Callithrix jacchus: one gene and its partners. The protein of the gene in region 1 interacts with the protein of each later gene in a pairwise test. Links are inferred from orthologs where the notes say so. Each region holds a gene or a part of one and is shown in the gene's direction. Other genes may lie near its edges.

Region 1 (4,162 bases):
GCCAGGGCAAGGTACCACCTGGAAGAGATGTTCAGTTACATGGGATCCAGGGCCAGGGGGAAAATATCAGTTTCCTGAGGTTTGGGTTTAGCCACTATTCTTCCAGCATTTCTACTGAGCCTTCACTTGTACCCCCTCAGTCCACTTGGCCAGGCATCACAGCCTCTGGGCAGGTCCAGGGAGGAACTATGGGCACAGGTGCTGTGTGCCACCTCTGCAGGGGGTTACTGAGGCTCTGGGTTATAGGTGGGTGCCCTGGGCCAGAGAGAGTTATATGGAAGTTATTGCTGAATACCCCCAGAGTACCAGTCACACAACAGTGTGAAGGGCCCTGCAGGAGCCACTGGGCAGCACAGTTGAAGGTGGCACCTTTCTGCTGAGTGCTGGGGCCAGAGCAGGGTTTAGTTTTCTGTCTTTCAGGGTGAGACTGGTGTATTCTGTACCAGCCTCCCTGTGTGTGAACAATGAAGAGAACAATCTTGTCTTGTTTTCCCCAAAATTAAGACACTATTTCTCACTAGTTTATACATGTTTATTATAAAAGGTAATTTAAACAATACTGAAATGTCAGAAAAACGTAAAATTCACCCCAAATCTCACCACTCCCGTAACTATGACTGACAGTGTGATCGCCTTTTTTTTGGTCAATAAATATACCTTTGTGTGCGTAATTTTTAATGATCCATGGTATTCCGTCGTGTGGATGTAATTTACATATTCATTTCCTTATTCTCACTTCTTCCTAGTTACAGCACTTCTTTAAGTACTTGTGATTTTATTCCTTGGGATAAATTCCTAGATGTTTACAACACGACCAGCTGGCCAGCTGCAAGATGGGGCAGTGAGGTCGTTGAAGGAGTAGGAATCCGTAGGTGGGCTGCGCTTCAGAATCTCGGTGGAACTTTTTCAAAATACTCGTGCTCGGGTCCCCGTCTCAGGAGGCCGGCGGTAGGGCTGGGCACTGGCATGGTTTTCAGGTCTTGTGGTTCCGAGGTCCCAGGGATTGAGGACCACTGGAGTAAGCGCTAGTTCACGGCGGGTGCAAAGCAGAAGACGATAACTCCTGACTGCCCTGGGACAATTCGCAACCCAGTCAAGCCTCGGTGCCAGCCTTTGTAAAGGGGCTGGGAGCAGCGGGACTTCGTTGACCCGGACTCCGGTCCTGAGCGCTGGGGGGCCAGATTTGACTCCGCCGGCTTTCTCCAGCGAGCAGGGCCCCCGGAGGCCGCTGGGAAGGTGACGTAATGTGCTTCCAGCAAAGGCTGTAGGCGGCGGCGGTCGCAGGTGGAGGGTGGTCTGTTAACCCTTCACTCCCAGGCCGGTGGACGGAATAACGTGTGGAGCAGATCCAACGGAAAAGGCAGCGGCTCCTTTAAACAAGGAGGAGCAGGTTAAGATGAAGACCGAGCGGTTACTCACCGCATTCGCTCCCAGGTTGCGGGGGGAGGGACCTCGCTATGCAAATCTGAGCTGCTGATCGATGACGCGCCATCACCCCACGCGCCGCCTCGCGCGCCCATTGGCTGAGATGAGCCTGGTCCCATTGACAACAAACAAGGGGGCGCGCGGCCTGGGGGCGTGGCCGCAGGGGGCGCGGGCTGGGGCGGGGGAATCCCGCCCCGCCCTTTCCGCGCGGCGCCAGGGCGCAACGCAAACATGGCGGCCGCTGGCATCCGCCGGTGAGGCGATACCGGACGGGGGTTGTCGGGTGTCATGGGCGGTGGCGACGGCACCGCCCCCGCGTCTCCCTGAGCGGGACGGCAGGGGGGCTTCTGCGCTGAGCTGGGCGATGGACGAGAGCGGCGAGCTGGGCGGTCTGGAGACCATGGAGACCCTTACGGAGCTGGGCGACGAGCTGACCCTGGGGGACATCGACGGTGAGTGGTGGGTGGGTGGGAGTACGGGGGCCGCGCGGGGAGGAAGGGGTTACGGTGGCGCGCCCGGGTGCGCGTGCGCCCACTCCTCGGCAGCCCCGGCTCGCGCGGGAAGCACCCCGCGCGCACAATCCCCCCCGGCGGCCCCCAACCCTTCCGGCTCTGCGAGCGTGAGCCCAGCCCAGCCGCGCCGCTCTGGGAGGCCGTGGGATCTGGGGCGCCGCGGAGCCGAAAGCAGCTCGAGGGTCTTGGGTTCTGGAGCGCGGGGCCAGCGACATCGCGGGGGCGTCTCAGGGAGCGGCCTAAGGAGAGCGCGTGGCCGCCGCCTCCCTTGCGCGCCCAGACGCCCTCTCCGTGGTCCGGTCTCCCGCCGCCCGCGGCAGCGTGTCACACCTATCACTACCTGCCCGGCCGCAGGGGCGGCTTTGAGATTCCCGGGGCCCAGCCCCGGGTCTGCGCACCCCGCATCCTTGGTCTTCCCGGGATTGACCGACGGCCGGGTCGCCGGGTGCTCTGCGAAACTTTGGGCAGTGGCCACAGAAGCAAGTTGCTGATGAAGAGAGCGGTGGCAGCGGAGTGTGGATGCATCTCTCCGGGATGGAGACCCGGGCGCTCCTGCTGTCACGCTACAAAGGGAATTGAGCAGAAGGAATTTTGAGTTGTGGCCCCTCGGGTACGGGCTGGGGAGCGGGTGGCCTTTGTTTCGGCGCCTTAACAGCGGAGTGGAAGAGCTGGTAGGAGCCTAGGGATCCTCTCTTAAAAATACTCATTTTGCGACCACGAGAATCACGATTTGGAAAGGGTCAGCGGCTTGCTCAAGGTCACCCAGCTGGTTAGAGCCCAGTTCTTCGATTTCCTGGGCCAGTATTGATTTTTTTGTACCCCTTCGTTCAGAGAGTCCAGTTGACTAGGCTAGTAATCTTACTAACTTGATAGTGTGTTCTGGGCTCCAAAATACTTTGTGTTATTTCACTTCTTCACAACAATCATGTGAGATATTCTGATTACCCCTATTGTAATACGGTAATGAAAGAAGCTGAGGACAGGAGATGCTGACTTATCTAAGGCCACGCACCTTAGAGAGCTTTAGGCAAAAACGCAGATGCATGGTACTTTTCAGTTTACAGAATGCTTTCATATCTAGGATCTCACTACAGCCTTGCAGGCATGTATGATGGCTGCATCCCTGTTGTGCAGATGAAGAAACAGAAGCAGCAGAAGATTCTCTTCAAGAGAAGAGATAAATGCAGCAGCTAATTGAAAAGGATCTGTTTGCCATATCCCCATTTTGCTTTTTGTAGTATTTCTCCCCTTGGTGTGTCCTTGTTTTCCATTTTAGTCTTGTGGACAGTGTGGTAAGACCCTTAATTGAAGCCCCACTTCTAACCACAGACTCTTCACTGAGTGCTCCTAAATTCAGAGATGGGTTAACAAATGGGGGTTGGAGGTTGGGTACCTACCAAGGGCAGCTAACATGTTTGAAGAACTTCTGTGCCAGCCAGTGTTAAACACTTATACACATTAATGTTCTTAATTCTCATAACCATCAGGTAGCGAGAACTGTTACACTAGTCATCTCCCTCTCACAGATCCTGAAAGTGAGGCCCAGGGCAGTTCATTAATTTACTGAAGATTACACAGCCAGTAGAAAGTACTGTATGTCTGTAACTGTCTACCAGCAAGGGCACAGAAAGGAATTCATGTGCATTTTGCATTCCTGTTCCATGATCAATTCCTACTTGTTTATTTATCTAATTTTCAAATTTTAATTTTTATATATTTAGTTATTTTTTGAGACAGGGCTGTATTCTGTCACCCAGGCTGGAGTGCAGTGGCACAATCACAGCTCACTGCAGCCTTGACTTTCTGGACTCAAGCAGTCCTCACACCTCAGCCTCCCAAGTAGCTGGAACCACAGACGTGTGCTACCACGCCCTGCAAATCTTCTGAAGTTTTGTAGAGATGAGGTCTCACTCTGTTGCCAGGCTAGCATAGGTCACAAACTTTTGGGCTCAAATGGTCCTCCTGCCTTGGCCTCTCAAAGTGCTAGGATTACAGGTGTGAGCCACCTAATTTTTTTTAGAGACAGGATCTGGCTCTTGCCCAGGCTGGAGTCCAGTGGCATAATCGTAGCTTACTGCAGCCTTGAACTCTTGGGTTTAAGCAATCCTCCCAGCTCAGCTTCCCAAGTAGCTAGGACTAAGGCATGTGCCACCACACCCAGCTAATATATATATATTTTTTGGAGAGCCAGTGTCACTATGTTGCCCAGGTTAGTCTTGAACTCC
Region 2 (3,646 bases), on another chromosome or scaffold:
TATTTTCAGTAGAGACGGGGTTTTACCATATTGGCCAGGATGGTCTCCATCTCTGGACCTTGTGATCTGCCCACCTCAGTGCTGAGATTGCAGACTTGAGCCATCCTCAGCTGGCCTAACTTAAATTTTTTTATAGCGATGGGGTCTCCCTGTGTTGCCCAGGCTGGTCTCAAATTTCTGGGCTTAAGCAATCCTCCTGCCTCGGCCCCACAAAGTGTTAGGATTACAGGTGTGAGCCACCTTGTTCAGCCTAGAAGCCTTTTTAAAAAGAAACATTGGCTGGGCATGGTGTAATCCCAGCACTTTGGGAGGCCAAGGCGGGCAGATCACCTGAGGTCGGGAGTTCAAGACCAGCCTGACCAACATGGAGAAACCCTGTCTCTACTAAAAATACAAAAGTAGCTGGGTGTGGTGTCATGCGCCTGTAATCCCAGCTACTTAGGAGGCTGAGGCAGGAGAATTGCTTGAACCTGGGAGGCGGAGGTTTTGATGAGCTGAGATCGTGCCATTGCATTCCAGCCTGGGCAACAAAAGTGAAAGTTCATCTCAAAAAAAAAAAAAAAGCCTCTGGCCTGGCACAGTGGCTCACACTTGTAATCTCAGCACTTTGGGAGGCAGAGATGGACGGATTCATCACCTGAGGTCAGGGGTTTGCGATCAGCCTGGCCAACATGGCTAACTTCGTTTCTACTAGAGATACAAAAATTAGTTGGGCCTGGTGGCGTGCACTTGTAGTCCCAGCTACTTGGGATGCTGAGGCCAGATAATCTCTTGAACCTGGGTAGGAGAGGGAGAGGTTGCAGTGAGCTGTGATCATGCTACTGCACTCCAGCCTGGACGACAGAGTGAGACTTCGTCTCAAAAAAAACAAAATAGAATGAACAACAACAAAAAATGAGGCCTTAGCTAAGCGCAGTGGCTCACGCCTGTAATCCCAGCTGTTTGGGAGGCCCAGGTGGGCAGCTCACAAGATCAGGAGATCGAGACCATCCTGGCTAACATGGTGAAACCCCATCTCTACTAAAAATAAAAAAATTAGCCGGCGTGGTGGCCCACGCCTATAGTCCTAGCTACTTGGGAGGCTGAGGCAGGAGAATCACTTGAACCCAGGAGGCAATGTTGCAGTAAGCTGAGATTGTGCCACTGCACTTCAGCTTGGGTGACAGAGAGAGACTCAGTCTCAAAAGCAAAAAAAAGGAAGCCTTTTTCAAAAATAAAAGTTTGGTCACACCTGTAATCCCAGCACTTTGGGAGGCTGAGGCGGGCGGATCACAAGGTCAGGGGTTCGAGACCAGCCTGACCAACATGGTGAAACCCAGTCTCTACTTAAAAATACAAAAATTGGCTGAGTTTGGTGGCACGCCTGTAATCCCAGCTACTTGGGAGGCTGAGGCAGGAGAATTGCTTGAACCCGGGAGGGGGAGTTTGCAGTGAGCCAAGAGGGCACCATTGCACTCTAGCCTGGGTGACAAAGTGAGACTCTGTCTCAAAAAAAAAAAAGTTTGAGTAAGTTTGGTGTAGGTTGGGTAATTGCTGTTGATACTTTGTGGTTCTTTAGTTTCTGTCTTTAGAATGAATGATGAATAGTTGTATTCTTACTTTTAGGGGTTCAGGGGATCCTGGCAAAAAGAAACAGCATATTTGCCACATCCAAGGCTGTGGGAAAGTATATGGCAAGACCTCACACCTGCGGGCACACTTGCGCTGGCATACTGGCGAGAGACCATTTATGTGTACCTGGTCATACTGTGGGAAACGCTTTACCCGTTCGGATGAGCTACAGAGGCACAAACGTACACACACAGGTGAGCAAGAGCCTGTGGGAGAGAAAAATAGTAATAGATCAGAATGAAAAACACAAAATACACTTACAAAATAACTAAAATTTCTTAGCAACTTAATTTGAAACTGAATTATATGGGTCACAAATGGAATTGGAGTTAATCTGGAAAACTTTTAAGAAGGAAGGAGGGCCAGGTGCAGTGGCTCACGCCTGTAATCCCAAGACTTTGGGAGGCCCAGGCGGGTGGATCTCTTAAGGTCAGGAGTTTGATACCAGCCTGGCCAACATGGGGACACCCTATCTCTACTAAAAATACAAAATAGCCAGGCTTGGTGGCGGGCATCTGTAATCCCAGCTACTTGGGAAGCTGAGGCAGGGGAATCAGAAGGCTTAGTTGCAGTGAGCTGAGATTGCCCCACTGCACTCCCACCTGGGTGACAGAGCAAGACTCTGTCTCAAGGAAAAAAAAGGAAGGAGCTAGGTTTTGAGTGGGATTTTGAAGGCGAAGTATTGAAACCATTACTCTTAGTCTCTGCCTTGCCTTACTTTTCTGCTAAGTTCCACCGTCCTTACTGAGTACTCCCTAACCTTTATCTACTTTTCTTCCCTGTCCCCCCAACCAAAAGGAAAAGATACTTCAAGATTTTTCTTGTTTTTAATAATCTTGTCATACTGGCCTTATTCAGCCTAGTAGAGTTTGAAAGCAGTGAATTAGGTAAGGTAATCTCACTTCCTAACATGTCAGCTTCTTTTCTTCCTTTACCTAGGTGAGAAGAAATTTGCCTGCCCTGAGTGTCCTAAGCGCTTCATGAGGAGTGACCATCTGTCAAAACATATCAAGACCCACCAGAATAAGAAGGGAGGCCCAGGTGTAGCCCTGAGTGTGGGCACTTTGCCCCTGGACAGTGGGGCAGGTTCAGAAGGCAGCGGCTCTGCCACTCCTTCAGCCCTTATTACCACCAATATGGTAGCCATGGAGGCCATCTGTCCAGAGGGCATTGCCCGTCTTGCCAACAGTGGCATCAACGTCATGCAGGTGGCGGATCTGCAGTCCATTAATATCAGTGGCAATGGCTTCTGAGATCAGGCACCTGGGGCCAGAGACATATGGGCCATACCCATCAACCCTGGGATGCAAGGTAGCATGGGTCCAAGAGACATGTGGGAAGAGAGAGCCATGAAGCATTAAAATGCATGGTGGTGGGAAGAATTGGGAGAGGGATACAAGAGAAGAGATGGGGTCCTGGCACCCATCTATATCATCAGTGCCTCTTTGAAGGTGGGAAACATTAGTGAAAATTCTGTTGGTGCCACCCTTTGATGAGCATTTGTTTTACCCCAGTTTCTTCTTAAACTTCTTACTCCAGCCTACCCTTCCTGCATTTCTCTTCTCAGCTCTTCCATGATGGATCACCCCCCTGCCCCATTTCCTAAAGCCATCATGCCTTGATAAATATATATGATCATTGAAATACTTTTTAACAAAAAACAGATTCTATATTATTATATATATATAAATATATATATAAAGATATATAGAGATGCATTCACAGGGGTTGGCTGGGAGGAGGAAGAAGACCATTCTGTGACCAAAATACCTTGGTCATTTTTTTTATATTGCCTTATTTCCCTATGGCTGAGCCTTGTTGTGACACATCAGCTTTTCTGTAGATGTTGCCTTGGCTTCTCACCAAATTAAGCATTCATATGCTCTGCTTTTAGTTTATATATACATACATAATGTTTTTCCTTTCATAATTTTGTCTTTATTTGGGATCAGCTTCTTGCACTCCTTTCCTGACTCATCTGTTGCCATCTCACATTCTCATATCTGATCACTTCATGTTTTATTTTTGTTAGTGC
Region 3 (4,076 bases), on another chromosome or scaffold:
TTTTCTGAGACAAGGCCTTGCACTGCTTCACCCAGGCTAGAGTGCAGTGGCATGTTCATAGCTTACTGCAGTAACTTCTTTATAACACTATTGCAGTTTACAAAGCACTCTCACATTATTTCATTCACTCTCCCTACATTACCAAGAGTTAGGAATTAGATCCTTTTACAGATGAAGAAATTGAGACTCCCTGAAGTCAAGTGTCTTATAGTTAGGTTTTGTTAATTTATTCATCAAATATTTATTGAGTGCCTAAAGCACATTTATTGAAATTGGATTTGAAAACAATTTTCCTGAATTTAAGGGTTTATTCCACTATTCTCAATTACTTTATCACCAGGGTTATAAACCCACAGGTAGTGAGTAACAATATGTGTAGATTTTATTGAGGACCCATGCAACACATGTCACAAAAGCTCCAAAGTAAAATTCAAGGTTACCATCAGCAGAGGCAGTCATTCCTCTCTGTGCTTGTTACCTCATGCACTAACTCTTACTGTAGGTAATTCCATTCAAAACACATTTGATGACTATTCCTATAGGTTTTGAAGTTATTCGGATTGGGTTTTGACAGCTACTAGCTGTGGGGCCTTACTTAGATCAAGTTACTTAACCTTTTTGAGCTTCAGTTTTATCATTTGTAAAATGGATAAAATCCTGATGCCTTTGGACCAATGGAAATGAAAGAGATAAGTGAAAAAGTCCATGCTCATTGTAGCTGTGGTTTTCAACTGCGTGATAAAGATTTAAAATCTGCATTCAAATGAGAACAACGTCTATGTCGAAGTTACAAGCTAACTATTCTTGCCAAGTACTGTTCTTTATTTTGGAGGGTATCACTTTACAGTTTGGTGTCAAATGCTCTCTTTTATGAATTTAAGGCGCCAGTAGCTGTCTACTTGAACAGCATGCTTCATCTGGCACGCCAAGTCGACCTTCATCCTCCAGTTCTCCCCAAATTAAAAACCCAAATACACACGTATTATTTCCTAAAATTCAAGCGCACACGCACACGCACACGCCCCTACTTATTTACTAAAATTCAAGCTCGCACCAAAGAGAGTCACAAGGATAGAAAGCCAGGTGGAGGTCACCGGGCAACGCCTCCAGATCCCCCGAAAGGGGGTGGGGTCAAAACTCTCACATCTCTTTCCGCCTCACTCTGTCGTCGCCCCTTCCCAATCCTCGCGAGACTTCAAGCAGCTCAGCTTCTGCGCGCAGCCCGATACTAAGAGTCTAGGCCCAGGGAGGGGGAAGGGAAAAGGAGAGACCGTGCAAACGGCGTGACCGCCATCTTGTTTGTGCCCCCGCTTCGCGCGCGCTCCGTTCTCCGTGACGCACGCTTTCCCCTTCCTTCCGCCGTGCCTGGGCCTCTGCATTGCCCGACTCTGCAGGAGCGCGGGGGCGGCTCCTGCTCTTCCCGGACTCCCGAGCAAAGGCGTGTGAGTGTGCGGGAGCTTCCGTGCGAGGGAGGGTGAGAGGGGAGCGGCGGCGGGGGGAGGGGCAGCGCTTCCCGCCTCGGCCGGAGACCTCACTTCCTCGCGCGGCCGTTGCTGTAGCTCGGTCCGGCCTGCTCGCCGCCATGTTGTGTTCTTGCCAGCCCCGACGCTGTCGTCCCCGCCGCCGCGCTCGTGGGGTCCGTGCGCCTCGTCGGCCCGGCCCGCGGGCTTTCTCCCATTGGCGGAAGGCGACGGCGGGGGGGCTCGCTCGTGATTGGTTGGTGGCGGGGAGGCCGCGGACCTGGCACCTTATTGGTCGCGCCGGCTCCGGCCTAGGGGGTGATGAAGGAATCTGAGGCTGCAGGGATGCGCGCGTCTTGGTCTAGGGCGGCGGGGGCAATGACCCCCTGCGGCGCACGCGGGGGTTGCGGCGCGGGTGCGAGCCTAGAGGCCTTAAGGGGGAAGAGAGGGTGATGGCCTGGCCGGTGCTTTGGGGGTAGCCTGGGCTGTGGCCTGGAATGGGGGACATTCACTTTCATAGGTGCTTTTCCTGATACATATGTAGCCCAACATGGGGTTGTGCAGGCCCTCAGGGTTCCAGGCCTGGAAACACCGAAGCCCAAGTGACCAGCTGAGAGATCTTCGAGATCCAGGGGTGCTAGTGTGACCCAGTTTGGAAGTGGCCCTGAAGTCCACGGTGTGAGTGCATGGTATGGGGAAAAAGGCATCAGGGCTAGGGGCATAGATGAAATGTAGAATCAGATCAGGGATTTTGCCGGAGAGTGCAAGCATTTAAACACTGAGGTGTGGTTTTTTTTTTTTTTTTTTTTTTGAGTCGGAGTTCCGCTCTTGTTACCCAGGCTGGAGTGCAATGGCGCGATCTCGGCTCACCGCAACCTCCACCTCCTGGGTTCTGGCAATTCTCCTGCCTCAGCTTCCTGAGTAGCAGGGATTACAGGCACGCGCCACCATGCCCAGCTAATTTTTTTGTATTTTAGTAGAGACAGGGTTTCGCCATGTTGACCAGGATGGTCTCGATCTCTTGACCTCGTGATCCACCCGCCTCGGCCTCCCAAAGTGCTGGGATTACAGGCTTGAGCCACCATGCCCAGCCGGCGGATGGCTTCTTAAGGAACAGGACTTGTCAACACTTTCTGGTTCATATTCCAAAATTTTTATTCCAGTCAGAGTCGTTCCATTGGACTTGTTGGGGATATGTTCCTTTTCCACTGAATCTTAATCATAGTTATTTATATTGCTTTACATTTGCTCCTCCCAATGTGTGAGGAGCATGGAAACACATTTATGTTAAACCTCTGTGTTTTCCTAATTTGTTTTTTCTTGTTTTTGTTAGGTTGTCCTTTTAGTTTTAGATGTTACTCTTCTGTTTTCATACCAAATTCAAGAAACTTCTATGGTTTTCAAATGTATTCAGTTTTATGTGAATGCAACTAAAGTTTCTGGAGAAGGGAATTGAAAAGTAGTAGAGGAAGAGAATTGGTATTTTGGGGCACATTTTAACACCAGTAGATAGGCATTATCATCCCAATATTGCAGATGAGGAAACTGAGGATCACACAGGTTAAGTAGCTTGTCTAGTGTCACTCTGTAAGTGGTTGAGCTGGAATTCAAACCCAGGTTGCCTGATGCCAAAGCCTGTAATTTTATCTTCTGCTACATTATGCTGTCAGCATAAACCTCACGGATCAAACTTCCAGATAATTTTATATTTCCAAGTGGATCGTCTACTTTGATTTCTGGGTGTTGAGAGTGTATTAAATGGAAAGCTATAATTCGTAAGAATTTGTTGTGCTGCTTAAGTATTTAGACCACAGAATTGTAACTATATAGAATATGGGTTCTTCAGCTAGGTATTCAGTCATATCCCTTGGTTTCTATTGTGTAAAGGAAGATTTACAAAGTAAATTGCTGCATTTTTCCTGAACCCAGGTAGATAATGGGGAAAAAATATGTACAGAAACTTGAAATATCTGCATTCCTTAAAACCAGGTTTCAGAATATATTGCAGATAGGCTTTCTGTATATGAAAGTAATTTATGCCAAGCAGTGAGGAACTACTACATGCATAGTGTAAAGAGCTCACTGAAGTGGTTTTCCAAACATCACCAGTTCCTTAGGGTGTCTCCAAATACCAGGACCAATTCAAAGCCTAGTGCTTTCTTCAGACTGTGGGATATTGATTCTAGGATATGCTTATCCTGAACAATGTGTGAAATTAAGACTGGATGGGACAAAATATTTGCAGTTCCAATTTTGCATGGAAACATTTGAATCAGGTTTTGAGGGGAGACCAGTGAGTTGGAGGTCTTAATTGCCTTATGTCTTGATGTGCTTAGTTGAAGCCCTCCCTCATCTTTATTTGCAGTAACATTTCATGTGGAAGATAGAGGCAAAGCTACAAGTGAAAATAGGGTTTGCCATGCATTTTGTACATTGGTTCTTTCAGCCGCCTTTGGCTCGGTCATCAAGTTAACAAAATATGAAGAATGATGTAGATCTGTAACTTAGTTTCTTTTTTACTAAGGCTAGACAAAATGAGAAAAATGAGTGTGTATGTATACCTTTATTATGCAGCAGGCGTTTCTGCAGCAACCTGCCCTTCAACATTGTTGGCCA

Evidence for each region.
Region 2: the proteins of SREBF2 (region 1) and SP1 interact in binary tests that used the Homo sapiens proteins (3 or more experiments, as listed by UniProt). The link is inferred for Callithrix jacchus from reciprocal best matches to the Homo sapiens genes SREBF2 and SP1.
Region 3: the proteins of SREBF2 (region 1) and NFYC interact in binary tests that used the Homo sapiens proteins (3 or more experiments, as listed by UniProt). The link is inferred for Callithrix jacchus from reciprocal best matches to the Homo sapiens genes SREBF2 and NFYC.

What each region holds. Positions count from the first base shown.
Region 1 is NC_133502.1:189,935,646-189,939,807, reverse strand, and holds the start of SREBF2 (sterol regulatory element-binding protein 2), read left to right. Parts: upstream 1-1,248; 5' UTR 1,249-1,480; coding exon 1,481-1,877; intron 1,878-4,162.
Region 2 is NC_133510.1:66,144,060-66,147,705, reverse strand, and holds part of SP1 (transcription factor Sp1), read left to right. Parts: intron 1-1,605; coding exon 1,606-1,805; intron 1,806-2,550; coding exon 2,551-2,864; 3' UTR 2,865-3,646. UniProt on the Homo sapiens protein: Transcription factor that can activate or repress transcription in response to physiological and pathological stimuli.
Region 3 is NC_133508.1:77,228,045-77,232,120, forward strand, and holds the start of NFYC (nuclear transcription factor Y subunit gamma), read left to right. Parts: upstream 1-1,189; 5' UTR 1,190-1,442; intron 1,443-1,780; exon of another isoform or gene 1,781-1,781; coding exon of another isoform or gene 1,782-1,875; exon of another isoform or gene 1,876-2,149; intron 2,150-4,076. UniProt on the Homo sapiens protein: Component of the sequence-specific heterotrimeric transcription factor (NF-Y) which specifically recognizes a 5'-CCAAT-3' box motif found in the promoters of its target genes.